Danio rerio: one gene and its partner. The main gene of each other region encodes a partner of the protein of the gene in region 2 in a complex. Links are inferred from orthologs where the notes say so. Each region holds a gene or a part of one and is shown on either strand. Other genes may lie near its edges.

Region 1 (4,072 bases), on a different chromosome or scaffold from region 2:
TTTCCTCTTTTTTTACATTTGTATTTAATATTTTTCTATAGCATATGAATTTGGGTGTACTAGTTTTTGGACCGTTATCGTGAATCATTTAGTTAGATAAGCTCCAGATTTGGCTTTAGTAATGACTAATCTAATGTATATTCACAAATATAAGAGTGTATAGCTTCCTATAAAAAATTTGAATGTAAAATTTAGATCTGTGAGGGGTGTACTCTATATATGCTGTAGAGCACTGTATGTTTATTGATGTTTTTATTAAACTACCCAAACAATTATATTCTGAAACAAAATAAAAAGGTTTAGCAGTTCTTACCTGGCTCTTCTTGGCTTCTTTTACCCATCAGCCCCACAAAAGAATTGATTTTATGCCCTAGAAGACAATTAGGGTAAAAAAACAAATTTTATATATATATATATATATATATATATATATATATATATATATATATATATATATATATATATATATACATACATATATATACATACATATATTGTATTCCAAATGTGTAGCGTTATTTTTTTCAAAATGTATCAAAAATTAGTTATTTTTTTTATAGATTACATCATTATAGATTATTTATGCTGTAGTTATGATTGGTTTATCTTATATTGACCAATAGAAAATTTTAAAATTCCAGAAATGTACGCTTACAGTTTGTGATGACGTTTAGTTTTGAGGATCAGCAATATATTGGTACTAACATGAAGGTAAACTAAATAATAATACAAAATTGGAAGTTTCCATGTTTTAATTTAACACTTTTTATGATGTAATTAATTAATAACACTTAATTAACTCATAAATCATATACAGTTTCTTAATTTATTTGAGTTTGGGAAATGTTTTGTAACATTAAACACAAAGACTGGAATATATTTCATAGTTTCTTATAACAATAATCCCATTCAGAACAATTTAGGCCACACTTATTCTTCAAGTAATCCAGTAATGTCAAGTAATTATTGTCAAAACACATGACCAAAAATCTACTCTGCATTACTGACTATAATTTCCATCATGTAAATTGTAATCAGGGACAGACTGCAATTTGTAAGTAATCTGCTCCGCTCAGTTCTGTGATATTGTTTAAGTCTAGAGTGCAGTTCAAGGATTTAATGTCTTTACATTTGTTTCTTCTTCTGCGAAATTGACCTTGAGGATGTGAGCTTCCATTAAGAGGAATCATGTATCTCTAACTCTTCCATTTTATCATTGAGCTTGTTTAAACGATCAAGGCTGAAAGTCTCCTTTCTTCTATCATGAATATGTCTTTGCATGATTGTATATGTAAATCTCTCTTGAAGTGTCTTTGCTTTTAGGCAAATGTGAGCATTTAACAAATAATAAATGCAGTGAAGTGTTTTTGCATAGATCACTTACTTTTCCGTGTGATCTGTGCATTTGCTGTGGGGGTGGAAGAATGAAAGAGATGTCAGTTATAGGTCAAAGCGCTGTTAAAATGTGACGCATTTTATTTAATATCTGAATATTTTACAGTTTGCATGTGTGGTCTTACCAGAGGACCGTTTCCCCATCAGACCGATGAACTGATGAGGTCGGGGTTTCCTCGTCATGCGTCTCAGTATCTCCCTGAAAGGATCCGACTGAATCCACTCATCCTGCGAAAGATGATTTGATTAGTGGAACGTTAGACCTCCAGCATGAAATAGCAGCAGTTTCTGACACAAATTGTACCCTTCAGTTCATCCCAATAGAGAGTTGACCAAATGATAGTATTTTTTATTACAGATTTTAAACACAGAAATCATTTACAGCGCAGGCTATTTGCAAAGATGCAGTTTATGGAGACAAAAAGCCTAAGATATAAGTGCTTGGCTGTCTTCCAACCCGCAATGTCAAATGAGAAACGTGTGTTCCATTCAAACAAGCCATAAGAGCATTGACTGATTCAGCACTGGACAGCGACCTGCATGCTTTGTGTTTGAATCCAGACTAACTGAAAACCCAATGAAAACTGATACAAACATCTCATACTTATTTTTCATTTAAAATTAACATTATGAATATAACATGTATTACATTACATTTTAATTAGGTATGTTACATTCATGGGGTATGTTAGAATTTATAATGTTTACAGATACTCTTTAGTTCTGAATTTGTGGCTATAAATCAATAATAACAAATAATTGTAGTTGTAAATGTAAAATGTCACAGTAAACAAAATATTTCACAGTAATTCAATAATAAATGGTAAACCATTTATTTAAAACAAAATATAAATTAAATTTGCTACATGTGAAATGTCACTAACTTTGTTGCAATTGTTATTATGACAATAACATTATTTAATCAACATAATAAAATAAAATACGATTTTTATATCGTTTTAATAGTTATTAATAAATATATAGACATGAATAGAACATTTTTGTATATTTTTTTATTAGCCTACTAATCTTTAAATCCACCCCTAAGCATGTTAAATAAATCCAGTAGGTTTTTTTTGATCTGCAAGACTTTTTTATACAACATTAGAGATTTCAAAACTCACCTGTATCTGATTGTTGCCTGTCCAGTAATCAAGGTCTTCTTTTGGACCCAATTCCTCTCCAAAAACTTGACACAAAACAACAAAAATGACTACAGTCGGTAAAATAAATTTCATGTTGCTCCCAGTAACTTTCCCTTTTTCCTTTAAAGCACTTTAAAGTATAAAACGCAAGCTAAACGTCGTTTTGTTCGAGTATGTTGAACGGTGTTCTTCTGTCAGCTGTACGTGAACAGTTTCCTCCACATATAACACAGTTCTTCAATGCGCGCGTACGATGCGCGTCTCCGTGACCGTTCTGGCTCGCGCGCTCGACTTTATAGCAAAGCAACAGGGAGGTGACAGGTTCCTTGCGACGCTTCAAATCAATAAAACAAATAAATGTTTTAGTCAGATTGCTTTAAAAAGGCACAATGACTAATAGCTTTCCTCTTTAATATTTCGTTCGCGTCGGGTAGAGGAAGTAACTAAAGTTTAGATGGTCCCTGTTTGGGAAGTCCGTGCCTTTATGTCGTGAGCTGATCAGTATGTAAACTGCACACAGGTGACGTTATGACTGGCGAACGACGAAGGTTTTACGAAGTTCCGTCTACAGCTGAGTAAATATGAATGCAGATGACCTGTTTAAGACTTCTTTTACGTCAGAGGAGGTGAGCAACTCACAAAGGGTTTAGGAATGGGATTGTAGAGGGCTTAAACAAGGATGATGTTTTGGGTTCTTATTTTGGTAAAAAGTCAGTCGTAACAATAATAACGCACATAAAATATGTTTTAGCACTTTCAAAAATTGTTTATACCGTAAATCAAAACATTTTGTTACAGTAACCTCTTTAAGCAATTCTTTGAAATTATTTTACCCATGTCAAATAACAACAAAAATTAATTAACAATTCATTTCATTTCAATTAATTCAATCTGGGGTCACCACAGCGCAACGAACCGCTAACTTATTCAGCATATGTTTTACTCAGCGGATGCCCTTCCAGCTGTAATCCATCTATGGGAAACGCACTCTCAATTACACACATACACTACGGACTATTTTAATTTTAATAAATATAATTTAGCATACCTAATTCACTATACCACGTGTCTTTGGACTGTGGGGGAAACCGGAGCACCCTGAGAGAACCCACTCGAATACGGGGAGAACATGCCAACTCCACACAGAGATGCCAACTGACCCAGGACCCCTCTTGCTGTGAGGCGATCGTGGTACCCAATGCGCCACCGTGACGCCAAATACAAAAATAGAACTAGTGTTTACCTAATTTGAAAGGTTGATTAAATCAATTTAACTGAATATGTTTGACTTCCTAACTCTATTCAAGAACAGTCCATGTTTAATCTGCATACTTAACAAAACAACAAAAAACTAGTATTTGTGTTATTGTAAAATGTTGTCAAATTAAATGAATAACTTTGACTTGCATTAACCTTTCCCATTCAGATTAAAAAGGTGAAGTTTTTATACTTCAATAGTTTGTTAATAGGCATGCATATTCATAAACAAACTTCTCTTTAAAAAGCTTGTGAGATTAACTATTCAATCAATT
Region 2 (3,514 bases):
TAGTTTTTTACTTTGTTCAATTTTATTTTATTTTTTCTTTCACCCTTCTTTAAAATGTATTTTGCACATTGTAAGTTTCTGTACTCTATTGTTAACTGTTTTTGAAAGCAATAAAAAAAGTGTTAAATAGTTTATGAAAAAAATAAGGGTAAAATACTAACTATTCAAAATATTATAATATTATTCAAATTAAATATTCAAAGTATTCAAAATAAATAAAAAAGCACCTTTGCCAGAATTTATATTGTTTGCCTTTTAAAATGATCGCAAAAAATAAATGAAAAAGACAAAAAAAAAAAAAAAACTCCATAAAGATTCAAAAGGTTTGTATAATATTACAAAAGATTTCAAACTGAAATAAATTCTGTCATTTCATATACTTACTTTTCACAAAAATCTGTAAAAGCAAGTCAGCATATGGAATGAGTTAGAACAAGTGACAGTGAGCAATTGATTATTTGATTAATTAATAGATTAATAGACTTGATCAATGACTGCTTAAAATTTTTATTTGTAAAAATATAAAACTTTGTAAGTTTTTAACCATATTGTTGATCATATATATTTAGCCTTTGTGAACAAAAGAGGAAAACCCTTAACAAAAAAAAAACAACAACTTAAGACTGTTAGTGTACAGTCAAGTTTTAACTTCAAAATGAGCAAATTCTTCAGTGTAGGTACCTGATATTCAGATCACTCCATGGCATATCGTCTATGTGATTGCTTAGCAGAGTTATTTGTATAATCAGATTTCATGAGTTAAGCGGTTTTGTGACATCACAACCAGCACATCTGTACACCCTCCCCAACATCTGTCCTCTCTGCATTTAAAAGCAGTGTGACCCCAACCAAATCTTTTTTGTACAATAATCTTGGCTAATATCAGACTAGACTGTCTGACAGATTGATGCACCATTTTCAAAGCACCTAAGATAAAAATCAGCTTGCAAACACAGGCAAACTTTTAGAGAATATATACTTTAGATTTCTTTAGAAGCAACAGTCATTAGCGTTTGCTCTTGTAAAGTCATTGCATTCACCCTTAGGCAAGATTTCCAATTATGTTGGTTTTAATAGGCTTGCACTTTTTCCTATTCTCTTTTTCTCTCTCAGGATCACGACTTTCCTGTGTTTAATGTTTTCTTTGTAATGAAGAAGCTCCTCTCTGTCGTTATATAAGTAAACACTTACGGGGGGAGAAAACAAGCAGAGCTGATTTTTGATTACTCCAAATTAGAGAGTCATAAAGGTAATATTTCCAGCAATATCCGAAAATATGGGTGAAATTTGATCTGGAGAGGAAATTCTCTGTACCCTGCAGACATAAATCTGAAAAACAAATACTCAACCTAAATATTTTTCCAATATCTGCAAATGGTGGCATGGGTTATTATAAAAAAACAAACATATCATACAAAGTCAAAATGCTGGGTTCCACGCAATTACTTCATGTTGTCCTAACATAAATCAATTATTTTAAAAAAAATTAAGTGGATTTAACATAAAATAATGAAAAAAAACCTTGAAAATTGTGTTGTTTTAACTAATTTTGTATAATTAGTTTGAACAAGCAGCAGAAGTATTCTTTTGAGTGTAATAGAGATGTTTACATTGTTTTGAAGTCCAGGAGAGTGTACTCGGGCCAGTCGATGTAGCAGACCACCCTGCCGGGCAGCTGGTCAGTGTCGGAGTAGTAGTATTGGGGGAAGGCCAGCAGAAGAGCCAGGATCCAGATGACCCCGATCACCACCTTTGTCTGTGTCGCAGACATCCTCTGCTGCAGGGGGTGAATGATGGCCATATATCTGTTGGAGGACACACATTACATCTGTTGGATATTCAGGTATTTTGTGCTTCAACTTAAGCTTAAATGGTTTTGTCATCTATATGATTTTGACATTGACAGTTTTGTGGTGAACAAATCATCTATGTCATTAAGAAAAAGAATGCTCCTGTAATGCAAAATTAAAATCTTAAAAATGTTTAATTCCCAAATTTCATGATTTTGAGGTATAGGGCGTGGTTAAGATATTTAACGCCCCTCCAACTGTCAGTTTTGACAACAAACAGAAGTGATGAGGAGAATTCGCCTGTTAGGTAACTCTTCTAAAACCCTTTTCCCCATCTTTCTGAATGAAATGCCTACTGTACTACATCCAATCAGCTCGCAGTAGAAAAACAAGCCACTCCCACTGTTATGCCGAGATCAGACTGCACGAAGTAGACATGTCACAGATGTTTTCACACTCTATGACTATCTGGGGTAGCGTTTTGTGGCTGCTTTGTTTACACAGTAAAATGGATCGACAACAGGTTTCACACTACATGACTTTACAATAGGAATCATCAACAACTCAGTTCACAAACTACGGCTCACAGCCAAGCACACACAGGAAGTGACATGGAAACAACGTGAGGTCACGCAGTATATCTTTTGTCATAAACTACATACTGAGAAAGAAGCCTTTAATAGGGTGTAACGTACTTATTTTGCTCACCTGACTTTTGAAGGGAATTGGCAATTTCTCCTTAACTTTTTTCTTTTTCAACCTGGTTGTGGTATTGCTCAGATGATACGTCAAACAGACACGGGTGCTCCTGCCATATTTAAACTAGTTTTTACCCCATTTCTTGGGTTCAAATAGACTGAAATAAATATTTTTAACTTATTCCCAACCTCCCGTTGGCCTGCAGATACCCATACTAGTGGTTGCAGTGGATTGGCTGTAGGTCATCGCAATGTTATTTTCAAACAGAATACATTTCACACGGCATGATTTTGAATCAACGACAGCTCCAGATATTAGCATGCCAAATATCTCACGGGTGTCTGCGACTCATCAACGATTCTCTCAGATTGCGTACTCAAAAGTTCACTCTGTGTGATTGACACTCACGTAAACCAGCATTGATTTGCCTGTGATTTCAGGCATTTGACAACGATTTCTCAAAACCTGTCGGCCAGTCAAAATCAGGGCTGAAATCATGCAGTCTGAACTCAGCATTAGCTTATTTAATATTCAGTTTTTCTAAGTATTGCGTCACAATACAAAAAAAAAAAAAAAGTTGCAGCTTCTGGTTCATGTGGACTTTAAATAACACTCTATTAAAATAAACAAATATTAATAATTCTGAAAATGATGAATACATGTACTTTTGAAATGTGTTCATTTAATAGACTGTTTTCCGTTAACTGCCAGGAAAGTAATGTGTTTTGGCATGGTGTCAAGATGTAAGTGAGAATATAACAGAAGATGAATGGCAGAGCATCTGCCTTACGTCCCATACCCTGACAATTAATGTGAAGTAAACTTCTGCAATGCAATTGCATTATGAGAGTGTACATTATCCTGGAGTTATTACATAGTTCTGAGCGATGTATAATATTCAGAACTCTAAGCCATTGTTTATAATAATGTCCCCATTTTTATTTTTGGTGTTGAAACAGAATGTACCCAAATGTCATCAATTCTGCATTCTAAATCTCTTGCCTCTATCTTGCACTTTAACTGAT

The links.
Region 1: the proteins of tacr1a (region 2) and tac1 are in contact, whole or in part, in a cryo-EM structure (PDB 7P02), measured with the Homo sapiens proteins. The link is inferred for Danio rerio from reciprocal best matches to the Homo sapiens genes TACR1 and TAC1. Residues at the interface, in NP_001049.1 of Homo sapiens: Gln24, Phe25, Asn85, Asn89, Tyr92, Ala93, Asn96, Trp98, His108, Asn109, Ile113, Gln165, Met174, Arg177, Val179, Cys180, Met181, Ile182, His197, Val200, Phe264, Phe267, Phe268, Tyr278, Leu279, Ile283, Gln284, Tyr287, Met291; in NP_003173.1 of Homo sapiens: Lys60, Pro61, Gln62, Gln63, Phe64, Phe65, Gly66, Leu67, Met68.

Annotation. Positions count from the first base shown.
Region 1 is NC_133194.1:28,062,672-28,066,743, reverse strand, and holds the start of tac1 (protachykinin-1 precursor), read right to left. Parts: upstream 2,812-4,072; 5' UTR 2,634-2,811; coding exon 2,520-2,633; intron 1,624-2,519; coding exon 1,521-1,623; intron 1,409-1,520; coding exon 1,385-1,408; intron 371-1,384; coding exon 314-370; intron 1-313. UniProt on the Homo sapiens protein: Tachykinins are active peptides which excite neurons, evoke behavioral responses, are potent vasodilators and secretagogues, and contract (directly or indirectly) many smooth muscles.
Region 2 is NC_133180.1:28,782,618-28,786,131, reverse strand, and holds part of tacr1a (tachykinin receptor 1a), read right to left. Parts: intron 1,844-3,514; exon of another isoform or gene 1,806-1,843; coding exon 1,611-1,805; intron 1,250-1,610; exon of another isoform or gene 1,114-1,249; intron 1-1,113. UniProt on the Homo sapiens protein: This is a receptor for the tachykinin neuropeptide substance P. It is probably associated with G proteins that activate a phosphatidylinositol-calcium second messenger system.